Linked DNA regions of Sus scrofa. The protein of the gene in region 1 binds, or shares a complex with, the protein of each later gene. Links are inferred from orthologs where the notes say so. Each region holds a gene or a part of one and is shown in the gene's direction. Other genes may lie near its edges.

Evidence for each region.
Region 2: the proteins of SPTLC2 (region 1) and SPTSSA are in contact, whole or in part, in a cryo-EM structure (PDB 7K0K), measured with the Homo sapiens proteins. The link is inferred for Sus scrofa from reciprocal best matches to the Homo sapiens genes SPTLC2 and SPTSSA. Residues at the interface, in NP_004854.1 of Homo sapiens: Leu73, Gly77, Val80, Leu81, Phe84, Leu87, Arg88, Leu91, Leu126, Arg129, Ile130, Tyr156, Met475, Pro476, Ala477, Lys478, Gly480, Ala481, Arg484, Glu485, Asp533, Leu534, Leu535, Gln536; in NP_612145.2 of Homo sapiens: Trp15, Tyr18, Gln19, Leu21, Leu22, Val23, Thr24, Ala25, Tyr27, Met28, Leu29, Glu30, Pro31, Trp32, Glu33, Val36, Phe37.
Region 3: the proteins of SPTLC2 (region 1) and ORMDL3 are in contact, whole or in part, in a cryo-EM structure (PDB 7K0O), measured with the Homo sapiens proteins. The link is inferred for Sus scrofa from reciprocal best matches to the Homo sapiens genes SPTLC2 and ORMDL3. Residues at the interface, in NP_004854.1 of Homo sapiens: Glu65, Thr66, Pro67, Met68, Ala71, Val72, Tyr75, Tyr86, Gln116, Phe118, Glu119, Asn120, Phe121, Tyr122, Tyr127, Trp134, Asp259, Glu260, Leu261, Asn262, Val267, Arg271, Ile279, Met320, Val495, Val496, Gly497, Phe498, Pro499, Ala500; in NP_001307730.1 of Homo sapiens: Met1, Asn2, Val3, Gly4, Thr5, Ala6, His7, Ser8, Pro12, Val16, Ser19, Arg20, Gly21, Ile22, Leu24, Ser25, Leu28, Phe63, Val67, Lys68, Gly69, Thr70, Pro71, Phe72, Glu73, Pro75, Gln77, Arg81.

Annotation. Positions count from the first base shown.
Region 1 is NC_010449.5:100,636,377-100,640,119, reverse strand, and holds the start of SPTLC2 (serine palmitoyltransferase 2), read left to right. Parts: upstream 1-1,146; 5' UTR 1,147-1,248; coding exon 1,249-1,377; intron 1,378-3,743. UniProt on the Homo sapiens protein: Component of the serine palmitoyltransferase multisubunit enzyme (SPT) that catalyzes the initial and rate-limiting step in sphingolipid biosynthesis by condensing L-serine and activated acyl-CoA (most commonly palmitoyl-CoA) to form long-chain bases.
Region 2 is NC_010449.5:65,301,426-65,305,168, forward strand, and holds the start of SPTSSA (serine palmitoyltransferase small subunit A), read left to right. Parts: upstream 1-1,461; 5' UTR 1,462-1,465; coding exon 1,466-1,682; intron 1,683-3,743. UniProt on the Homo sapiens protein: Component of the serine palmitoyltransferase multisubunit enzyme (SPT) that catalyzes the initial and rate-limiting step in sphingolipid biosynthesis by condensing L-serine and activated acyl-CoA (most commonly palmitoyl-CoA) to form long-chain bases.
Region 3 is NC_010454.4:22,410,302-22,413,968, forward strand, and holds the start of ORMDL3 (ORM1-like protein 3), read left to right. Parts: upstream 1-828; 5' UTR 829-978; exon of another isoform or gene 979-1,053; intron 1,054-1,145; exon of another isoform or gene 1,146-1,167; intron 1,168-1,281; exon of another isoform or gene 1,282-1,405; intron 1,406-1,447; exon of another isoform or gene 1,448-1,527; intron 1,528-1,918; exon of another isoform or gene 1,919-1,941; intron 1,942-3,667. UniProt on the Homo sapiens protein: Plays an essential role in the homeostatic regulation of sphingolipid de novo biosynthesis by modulating the activity of the serine palmitoyltransferase (SPT) in response to ceramide levels.

The DNA of each region.
Region 1 (3,743 bases):
GCAGGCGAAAGGGTCCATTGAGCAATTAATAATAATTAACACTTAGAAATGTTTACTAATTGCTAGGTCCCGTACAAAATACACAGCATGTATTAACTCATTAAATCCTCAGGACAATTACCATTATCTCCATTGAACAGATGAAGACAAATAGAGGTCACTTAGCTAGTAAGTGGCACAAGCCAGGATTCAAATCCAGACTGACTCTTATTCCATATTCTTAAATGTGACACTAAATTCTTTATGGGTAACCAAAAGTTTGCTTGCTATAATGTAGATCCATTTCCTTATTTTTTAATAACTAAATATAAATATATAAATATATAAATATAACTAAATATAGTTATATATAGAATAATATATATATAATATAATATAATATATATATTATGCTTCTGGTATGGGCCACATATGTGACAGATGCACAATGCCTTATTAATATAATTCTTGCAATGTCTATGAAGCAGGAAGTATTAACTCCATTTTAAAGGATTTGGCTCCCAAAGTGGTTAAATACTCAAGGTTTAGCTTCCGGTTACTGGCAGAGCTGGAATAAGGCCAGTTTCTTGACTTTCAAGGAAGTGTTCTTTTAAGGAAATTGTACAGAAACCCTGATAGGGACAGATGCGAAGGGCAAAGAGACATTTGAGTTATTACTTAAAAAATGTATTAATGTACAGCGGTTACTGAAGAATGGTGAGGGAATATCAAAAAGTGCATTCTATAAAAACACAGAATTCGCAAATTAAATAAAAAAGCCCTGTCTCAGGCTGGGATTCAAACCCGAGAACTTCCCCGGAGGCAAGGGCAGAGAGGGCCGTGTCCTGGCACTGACCTGCCCTGAAGAAGAGGGAACCTGCTCTAAACACTCGGGCTCAGCGGGGATGTCAGGTTGAAGGGCCCCTATGGAACACACCCTCGACACCTGCCAGCCGCTTTATTCTCGCCGGTGATTGGCCAGACAGGAATCCGGGGTCCGCCTCCGCCTCCTCGATTGGCCAGCAGTCCTCAGGCTCACCACCCTCCCGCGCTCCCCGCCCAGTCTCCCGCTCCCGGGCTCGGTCTAGGGCGAGTCGCAGCCTGGGAGGGAACGGGCCCCGCCCCCCCGTGACGGCCCGGCAGGGAATTGGCTGCGGCGTGCAGCCATTTCCGGTTTCGGGGTGGTGGGAGGGGTGCGGAGCGGGACTTGGAGCCGCCGCTGCTTTGCCCGCCGCGTACAGATCCTGCCTCGCGCTTGGTGCTGCTGGGATGATGCGGTCGGGTCCCGAAGGCTGCTGCCGTCGCCCGGTGCGGGCGAACGGCTGCGTGGCGAACGGGGAGGTGCGGAACGGGTACGTGAGGAGCAGCGCCGCTGCCGCCGCAGCCGCTGCCGGCCAGGTACGTGGGACCAGGCGGCCGGGCCGGGGGCGGTGGGTGGGGACACCGCGAGCTGCCCCGTGCGGAGAGGTGCCCCGGCCGGGCGAGGTCGCGGTGACCCTCAGCGGGAGCGGGCGCTGCTCAGGTGTGCTAGCGGCCGTGTCCTGGCACTGACCGGGCCTGCCCCGGGCCGGAAGGCTCAAGGGCGGCGCAGGGGCTCTCCTATCTCTCAGCGCCTGAGGTCTTCCTCTCCGCCCTAGGGAGGTTTGGGCTCTGCTTCCTCTACCCAATCCCGCCAGAAGTGGGGCCGTCCCCCAGGAGAAGCAGGGAGTGCTTTCTCCGACACCGGGAGGATCCACTCGTGGGCTGTAGATTTTTTTCTCCCAAGACTCCCTTCTATGCCCTTCAGGTAGTTGCTTCCTCCTAGAGCCATGAAGCCCTCAAGGGAAAACCTCGTTTAGGGTCCTTGGGAGGCAGAGAAAGTTAGGAGGTGGTACCGGGCGGAAACACACCCTGTCTTCTCCTACCACGTAACTACCCTCTTCTACAAGCAGGACGTTCAACCACCAATCTGCCCTTGAACCCGGGCCAGTGCCTCAAAAGCATTATGATCTTGGCCCGAGGTGAGAGCCCATCCTGGGGACCAGGTGGTCCTTTTTGACCCTTTGAGCAAGAGCGCCGTCACGCAAGGGGATTGTTTAGCCTGATGGCGACTTGTGATGAATCTTTCTGTTAATTAACCAAGGCTGAATCACCAACGAAATCCAAGCTGTTCTGAAATATTTTGAAAAGTTCTGACTTCAAGGCAATCATTACCAACTTTCCACTTCTCTGGACTGACAGTTATTTTGTTGAAATGGTTTTTAAAGACGAGGTGGTTAAAAAGATGCAAGATCAGTGTTGGTGGAAAGGAGGGTATGAAATTTGCAATTGACTTTAACACTTATAAAGAGCTCTCTCAGATATTAAGGAAATCATTTTTTTCAAAAGTAGTCTGTTCCCCATAGCAGGAAGTGTAACTGTTGTACTAGAATTTGGCATTACCATAAGTATCTGGCAGCCTCCTCCCTCAGTCATACCTCAGGAGGTATGATAGATACTGTTTGGTGTGAAACAAAAAAATAGAGCATTTCTCCCGATCTTGTTGAGATATGAAGACCGTAAGAGTTGAAGGGAAATACAAGAAAGAGACTTGACCTCCTTTGAAGTTGTAAGGCGTGAGGCAGTGTGATACACAACTTCGGGACATTTATTTTCATTTTTGAAGAGATAATAGCGTGAGACAGGAAGTGATAAGAATCAGCTCATTATAAGCCATGGGAGAAGTTGTTTTCCTAGCAACGTAAATGGCTAATAAGACAGAATTGTTGTGGTAGACACTGTAAGAGGGAAACCTAACGGTGTCAGAAAATGCAATGCAGGCCAGTACATAGGTTATTCTTAAGAGGGAAAAGGGAATCAAGAGAAAGGTGTTCATGCACTAGAGGTACTTCACGTTTAAATGCTCTTTTCACTTAACATACTTATGTTCTGAGTTGGTAAATCAGACTCCTCCCTCCCATAATCCTGAACAGTTTTTTTAGCATTGGTGGGCAGGACATTTCTTCAGAGATTGCTGACTGATAAGATGAAGAAATAGCAGGTGGCTAAAATGAACTTTAAAAATCTATGTAACTGGAAAATCTGACTTTTTAAAATAAATGTTAGTGAAAATTTTCACTGAAGGCCATTTGGAAGAATGGTCTGGTGGAATGTCCTAAAGAATGTTTAGGGCTGCAGCATCTCTTCTAGAAAACCATTTCTCAAACGTCTTTTTAAAACAAAGACTTTAGGTATGTAGCTTTGTACACTAATGCGAGGAATGTAGTCTGTGGGGGTATTCCCTCCCCCTTCTTTTTTTCTTTTTGCTTTTTAGGGCCCTACCCACAGCATATGAAAGTTTCTAGGCTAGGGGTTGAATAGGAGCTACAGCTGCCGGCCTACACCACAGCCACAGCACTGCCAGATCTGAGCCAGGTCTGTCACCTACACCACGATAATGCCGGATCCTTAACCTAATGAACGAGGCCAAGGATCAAACCAGCAACCTCATGGATTCTACTCAGGTTCGTTAAACACTGCCACGAAGGGAACTCCTCCCTCCTTCTTTTTTCTTAAGCAAAAGAAACTTCATCAATGCAAGAATATCTTAAAAATATTTTTTAAAGTTGTTTTTGTCTTAATTAAGATGATGTGCTAGTGTTCCAAGCTCTATTTTTTTTCCCCCAGTTTCTGAGGGAAATGTTGCCAGTTATGCCATAAAAATACACATATGATGTTAAGTGCACAGGTGTGTGTACTTTTACTAAAACAGTGTAAAGTGGTTTTTAAACCTGAGATACAAGTTT
Region 2 (3,743 bases), about 35 Mb from region 1:
CAAAAGTAACGAACCCGACTAGTATCCATGAGGATGTGGGTTCAATCCCTGGCCTTGCTCAGTGGTTTAAAGAGTCTGGCATTGCCATGAGCTATTATGTAGGTCACAGACATGGCTTGGATCTGGCGTTGCTGTGGCTGTGGCACAGGCCAGCAGCTGCACCTCCCATTTAACCCCTAGCCTGGGAACCTCCACATGTAGTGGGTGTGGCCCTAAAAAGACAAAAACAGAAAGCAAGCAAACAAAAAAACCCAGAAGACTTTTACAATACCAATTTCATTTTCTCTGGGCTATCATAGCATTCTACACATAACATAAAAATACCCTTTACAACAATTCACTGTAATCCGTTAACTTGCTTCTCTTCCCTGGTAGACCAGGTAATTTATGAAGGCAGATCTCAGTCTGTCTGTCTTTCTATCCCTTATGTTTAGCTCGACAGCAGTCTAAATGCATAAATAGTTATCAACCAGTAAAGTTTTAAAAGTTTAAGCAAAAGGCTATTTAGAAAACTTTTAACATTTCAATGACAGGCCATTTAATTATCTCACTAACTGTGCGTCTTCATTCCTGAAGGTGAGTGCATTGTTGCTGGCTCATTTGCCAGTGGAAAAACCTGAACATTTAAGGGCAAATCTCCTGGAGGTACCTGCCTACAGACAGACTGCAAGCGGCCTGTCGCCTGCAGAACCCACAAGATCTGCGTCTTTCTCCTGGCCTTGACCTACATAGCACCTAGAAACACTAAAAGAAGTGAACAGATAGATGTATTTAGGGTAATCTCTTTTGTCTTTAGGTTCAGGAATGCACAGATGTCGGTCTATGTGGGTGTTTTTGTGTGTCTGAGTGCATGTGTGCATGGGGAGGGAGGAAGAGGGTCAAGGGTTCATCTCTTTTTCTCAGATGCCTTCCCTAACTTCGTTGACCGGGTTCTATTCACCTCTGCATCCTCTCCGAGCACCTTATTCTCCTTCTCTGCACTGATCACAGCTCTGATTGCATGTGTGTGCTGACCGCTTGTCTCCCTCGCTAGATGGTAAACCGTACCCGACGAGGTAAGGAACGTATTACGTTCCTGTTCACACTAGTAATCCTCCAGCCCAGTAGGACGCCTAAGGCATCACTGGTATTTCACAAATATTTCTTCGACCCTTGTTTCTGGGCAAGACTTGGGTGGACCCACCGTACAAGGGAGCCAGCGCCCGCCCCCAGTGGGCACAACGCCCCGCCCACCAACTACCGCTCGAGGCTGGGCCGGGCGGGGCCCGGCGGGGCGCTCTCGCGGGGACAGTTCTCCGGCTCGCGTGGGCGCGGCCCGGGGAGGGCGGAAACACCGAGGGGGCGGACACGGCGCGAGGCCGAGGCCTGGCCAATGAGCGCCGGCAGGGCGGGGCTCGCGGCCGGCGGTCCGAGCGCGCGCGGAGCTGGGCGTGCCCACGGGTGACGCGCCGGGCCGGGCGGGCCAATGGGCGCGGGGTGGCGGGCGGGCGGGCCTGGTGGCCGGGGGTTTAGGGCGCGCACGGGAGGCCGGCCGGACAGACTGACGTTCAGCTGCAACGCGGGTGGCGGTTTGTCCGGGATGGCGCTGGCGCGGGCCTGGAAGCAAATGTCCTGGTTCTACTACCAGTACCTGCTGGTCACGGCGCTCTACATGCTGGAGCCGTGGGAGCGGACTGTGTTCAGTATCCTGCCCGGGCCTCGGGGCCCGGTGGGGGCGCGGAGCCGGGGCCGCATCCTCCCGGGGCCCAGGCCCTGGAGGGCTGGGTGGTAGGGGGGCGGCGGGAGGGCGGAGAGGCGGCCCCGCGGGAGCCGCGCACCGACTCGTTTCTTCGTGGCGGGCACGCGGAGCCGAGGTCTCGGCGCCGAGGGTGACGCTCCTGCGGTGGTGGGGGGTGGGGAGGCGGCGGGAACTCTTGAGATCCGAGGTCGCGGATGAGTCACTTGACCCGAAATAGAAGCGTCTTTATTAGTGGAGGAGATTCCCCTCCGGCGATGTGTGCCTGGTGTGCCTACCCTTGCACTTCAGCCGTGGCATCCTTTGGTTCAGTCTCCTGTTCTTGTGGGAGGTGTAAGTGGAGCAGATTGCTCCCGGCTCGGACGGCTTTGACCTTTAACTGTCCCTGATTTACCTGGCTTTAGTTCTAATGAAAATGCTAACCAGTTTATCAGCTTTTAAATCCGGTTGTGAATTTGTGTTCATGGCGTCCCAATATAGTTTTAGAAAGCAATTTTTTAAATTGTACCTATTTGGTCTTCATGATGGTTAGTTTAAAAAGTGCATTCTACTCGTTAATTTGCCATTTGCACAGTTCTTAGCAGTCAAGCTCGAAAGGAATTTGTGGTTAGTTGTAGGTAGTGTTTGAAACCGTTTAATAGATCGCCAATAACTACTTGTCCGACTATTGAGCGTTTACTGTGAGCCAAGCAACTCTGCTAAGCAGTTTGCCTGTTATCTTAAGGCATCTAACTTTCATAACCTCAGTTAATAACTCAAGGTTGTGAAGAAATGCTTCCCGAAGTGTCTCCACTTGTCTGTGTTGAGATCCTTTGATATTATTCTAGAATAAACACTAATAATTAGATGTAACTTTTTTTTTTTTAACTTGGGGGCCAATGAGGAACATAATTTACGTAGCATGCTTGCTTCCTATAGGGCCTCTCCTCTTCAATGTGGTTTAGTTTGGAGTAGCTTCAGAACAACTTTGAACAACTTTGCAAATGCATTATTGCATTGTGGTAGAATGACTGAGGTAATTTCATTCCAAGGCTTAATCAGTGTGTTTATTTATATTAAACAGGCATAAGATTGCACTAAAAGCAGAGTCTTTTGTTTCACCACTTCTGAGGTATCTTAGCTGCTTACAAGCAAACTTAGTTTTATTATTGTTGACATTTCTTTACAAACCTGGAATTTAAGAACCAGAATGCATGTTTTGGATTTAAAGTTTGAAGGTAAAGTATGCTCTAATTTTCTACACCATTTATTTGTTACTACAGTTCAGTTTCACTCTAAGTTCTATAGGTTGGAGCTAATGAGGACCTCTTTGTAAAATGTATAGTAAACTGTATACTGAAATGTAGAGCATCTCTCTTTTTCTTTTCTTTTCTTTTTTGTCTCTTTAGGGCCACACCCACGCCATATGGAGGTTCCCAGGCTAAGGGTCTAATCAGAGCTACAGCTGCTGGCCTATGCCAGAGCCACAGGATTGGAGCTGCCTCTGTGACCTACACCACAGTTATAGCAACAGCGGATCCTTAACACAGCGAGGCCAGGGATCCAACCCGCAACCTCGTGGTCCTATTGACTTTCGCCTCTGGAGGGGGAGTTTTTAACATGTTTCAGAAGTCCCCTTTCTCTGCTGGCAGCCATCCCTGGGAAAGGAAAAGACCAGGTTTTGTAACCAGTGAGACACTCCCTGAGGGCCTCACTGAGTAACATTGTAACCATGCTGTTGAGGGGAAGTGGAGAATTGAAAATACTTTGTTATAATACTTGCAAGCATAGGAGTGTAGTGGCTGAGCTGTTAAGGAATGAGACTAGGATTCATGAGCATGTGGGTTCGATCCCTGGCTTCGCTCAGCCGGTTAAGGAGCTCAGTGGGTTAAGGATCCGGCGTTGCCGTGAGCTGTGGTGTAGGTCACAGACAGACTCGAATCCTGTGTTGCTGTGGCTGTAGCATAGGCCGGCAGCTACACCTCCGATTCTACCCAGGCTGTGGGAACCTCCATGTGCCGTGGGTATG
Region 3 (3,667 bases), on another chromosome or scaffold:
CACAACAGGAACTCTGTTGAGATACATTCTTTTGAATTTGCACAACCTCAGAGGTAGGTTTACACAGGTGTGGAATCAGAGATTAAGAGATGTTATTGGCCTAGGGTTATGCAGGTGGTGAGGAGTGCCTGATAAGTCTACCTGGTAAATCTGTGCCAGGAGAAACCTGTGCTTTAGCCTTTAGAGCCTGCAGATGTGAAAACTACAGACTAGAGACCCTCCCACCCCAAACCACACAGCTGACTTGGGACTGGGACTCAGGGTTGTAGTTATTCAGCAGGGAGTCTTCCCAAGTCACATGTCCTCTTCCCACATCTAATGTGGTGAAGCCCAGGATGTGGCCGGTCCCAGGCCAGCCCGGGTCAGAGGCAACTGAGCAGGAGACAGTCTGCCCACAGACTGCGTTCTCTACCCGCCAGACTCTTATCCTAAAAAACATCGTGAAAAAACCCGCTTCCAGGAGGGCCCAGCAAGGCAAACAGCTAGGCTAGTCGTTTGACGGAGGGCCAGGGCAGAGGCAGAGAGGTGGAATTGAAAATATCTGACTTGGGGTCAGAATTTCTGGGTTCGGGTCCAGCTTGGGGGCGAGCAGGGACCTATGGCAAGTTACTTAAAACTCCAAGTTTCTTCATCTGCAAAACCCGGCAAGAGTGATTTCCACAGGAGCGCGGATGCCAAGGCAGGAATTGTTATGCGCCAAGGCGATACCATCTGAACTTTGTGACGCGCACGTACTATTAAAAACCTCCGTGCGGCCCCAGCGGCCTGGGCTGGAGCAGGGGAGAAAAACTACAACTCCCAGGAGGCGTCGGGCGGGCAGGCGCTGAGCGGTGACGTAATGGGGGCCGGCGCCGGGCGCTGATTCGGCCCGAGCTGCCAGCGGGGTGGCTGCCGCCGCGGGTTATTACAGCTGCTGGAGCAGCAGCGGCCCCCGCCCCCGGGCACCCCTCCCGGGCCCTCGACGTCCGGCCCCGCACGGTGAGTCCGGAGGAGCGGCCTCCAAGTGGCTTAACCGGGAGCCTCCGGGGGCTAGCAGGCGGGACGGGAAAGAAGGTGGGGGCTGTTAAGGAGGCGTCTGGGACTGGAGGGGTCCCGGACTGGCTGAGCGGAGGTTGAGGGGGTGCATCAGCCGAGAAGGGTGCATCACTCGAAGGGATGGGGAAAAGGGCAAGTGGGGACTGGAGGCCGGGGATGGAGCGTCGAGGAGGAGCGCTCGGGCTGGGGGTGGGGGGCGGGGAGCAGCTGGGCTTTGGGGATAAAGGTTTGGCAGCTTCCAGGGCTGGGTGAACGCGGGGGGTGGGGCTCCAGGCCGGGCCAGGCTCCGAGTGAGAGGTCCCAGGCTGGGGAACGGAGCGGAGGCCCCCCATTTCGGCTTGCAGTCTCACTCAGAAAAACCCCAACAATAGTAAGGACTCCGCCTCCTCGCTTCGCCCTCTCCCCTTGCTAGTTAGGGGTTCGCTGCTGTACTCGACATCTTTCCGTTCCCACTGCCCCCCAGAGTCCCGGAGGCAGGGCCAGAGCTGAGAGGTAAGCGAGCGACGGTAGCCCTCCGGGTTAGGGGGTGGGCAGAATGAGAATGGCATTCTGGCGTGCTGCCAGGGACTCCCCGCTGGGGTCCAGGTTGCAGGCTTGGATGCTTTGTGCTCCTCACCCAGAGAAAGATTTGCTGCCCTGACTTGGGGGAGAGACTCGAAAGTGCTCACCTGGCTGCTGGCACTGTGGCCTTGGCTTAGGTGTCTGACAGGCTGGGCAGGGATATTTGTGTTCAGAGCAAGAGGGGAAGAGAGGGAAGGAGTAGGAAAGAACTACCAGCGAGAAAGTGGTTAACAGAACAGAGTTGCTGCAGGCTCTGGTTTGAGGCAGGTTATGAAACCACATCAGGGACTGACGCGAACAGCCACCTGCCAGCTATGGCAGTAGAACTTTTCAGCCTCAGCTGCTGTATGTACACTTTTCTGTCTTTGCCAGCTTCTCCCCACTTCTCCCGTCTGGGCTGGGGGAAGTTGGTTATTTCACTAATGGAAGTGATATGTAGCCTTAGTCACACAGAAGCCTCAAGAGTGCTTCTTGCTGCCTGTCATTTTCTTAGTTTATTGACCTCATCTGTCTGTTGGGGGTGGGGGGGGGCGTCTCCTGGGGTATTCTGCTTTCAGGGCATCTAGTGTTTCAGGCTGCAGAAAGAAGCTTCCCTGGGAATCGGTTAAGTCATAGGTCTGAGTCCTTCCTAGAGTCATCAGGCTTTGTTGGATGCCCTGTTACAGCCAGGAAGGAGTATGGGATGATCTGGGACTCAGCAAGGCTCTTGGCGCTCCTGGGCAAAATACCAGGGAGGGCTAGAGGTCTTGCTCGCTACTTTAACAGCCTTGTAGGTCAAGGTTAGGGAGAAGTGGGGGAGGGCAGCGGTTTCTGGTCAGACTCAGGGAACTCTTTCTCTCTCCTTAGTCAGTAGTTAAGTCCTCAGAGCCCTTACTTCTTAGCGAGTTTCCCCCTCTTCCCCCCCCCAACATTCCACCTGGTGGAAGCATTTGCATGGTAGGTGTCCCAAGAGCTGTGTTAGGGTAACTGAAGCCCTAAGCCCTGGGGAGGTAAACAACCGAGCCAGTCCTGGTTTTCTAGTTCCTTGGGTTTCTGTGAGGCCCAATTATCCAGCTTAATGGGTTGAGCTGATGGGCCGCAGGAGCATCACTGCTGCTAGGGTGTGTCCTAGCTGTCGTTTGTCTGTTTGTATGCTGGCAAGGTGTGTTGTGGGTCATGTTTCCCCTGGGGTCTCTAAGTTTGGAGCCGCCTAAGAAGAGAACATCGTTCCCATTATCCCGGAAGTAGGGAACCGATCCTTGAGAATTCCAGCTCCCATGCAGGCTCTTTGATCCCAGCCAGAGATTGAGGGCAGCTGAGCCTGCGGGTGGGTCTGTTGGTTGCAGCAGGGTGAGGGGGGTGGCCTTCTGGGTGCTTCCAGGATCCCCCCATCTGTATCCCCAGGAAAGATGAGGCTGTTACCATGGCAGTGACCTTAGGGTCTTTATCAGGTAGGATCTTCCCTCAGCTAGGGAGGTGAGCCAGTACAAACGTGCCACCTGTTCAAACCTCCTGCTGGTCACAGGGATCCGGGGACAGCTGAGCTCTGGACAAGGGGCTGCTCGTTCCCCTTCTTACCTGCATCCAGGAATGCAGCTGGGCTGCATTGTTTCCTGGGCATCAGGGGCAGCCCTCCTGATTCCTCCTGCTGCAGGGCTTCTGCCCTTGGAGCTGGGCAGGGGAAGGCATGGTGCTAACTCACACCTGGAAACAGGTGCTGGGCAAGGAGGCCAAGGCGAGGACGGGTGGGCAGTGAGGAAAGGGGGTAGGAGCGAGGCCACAGGTGTGGTTTTGTGTCCCTGGGAGAGCTGTGTTGACGTGGGCCCCAGCCACCCGTGGGAGCTGGAGCCATTGGCCGCGTTCTCCCTCCTTGCGTCTCCTCTGGTGGAGAAAAGCGCCCTGCTGGTGTGGCAGCCAAGTGGGTGTCATCACGAGGGTTAGCTGAGTGGCTGCCAAATGGGTAAAACATCTGGACGGGTTGTTTTCATATGACCAAGAAGACGGCTTCCAGGTCTAGGCAAAGGTTGTCTCTAGTCTGTTTTCTCTTTTTCTCTTTCTTTCTACCCACCAGTCCTGCTGGGTCATGACGGGG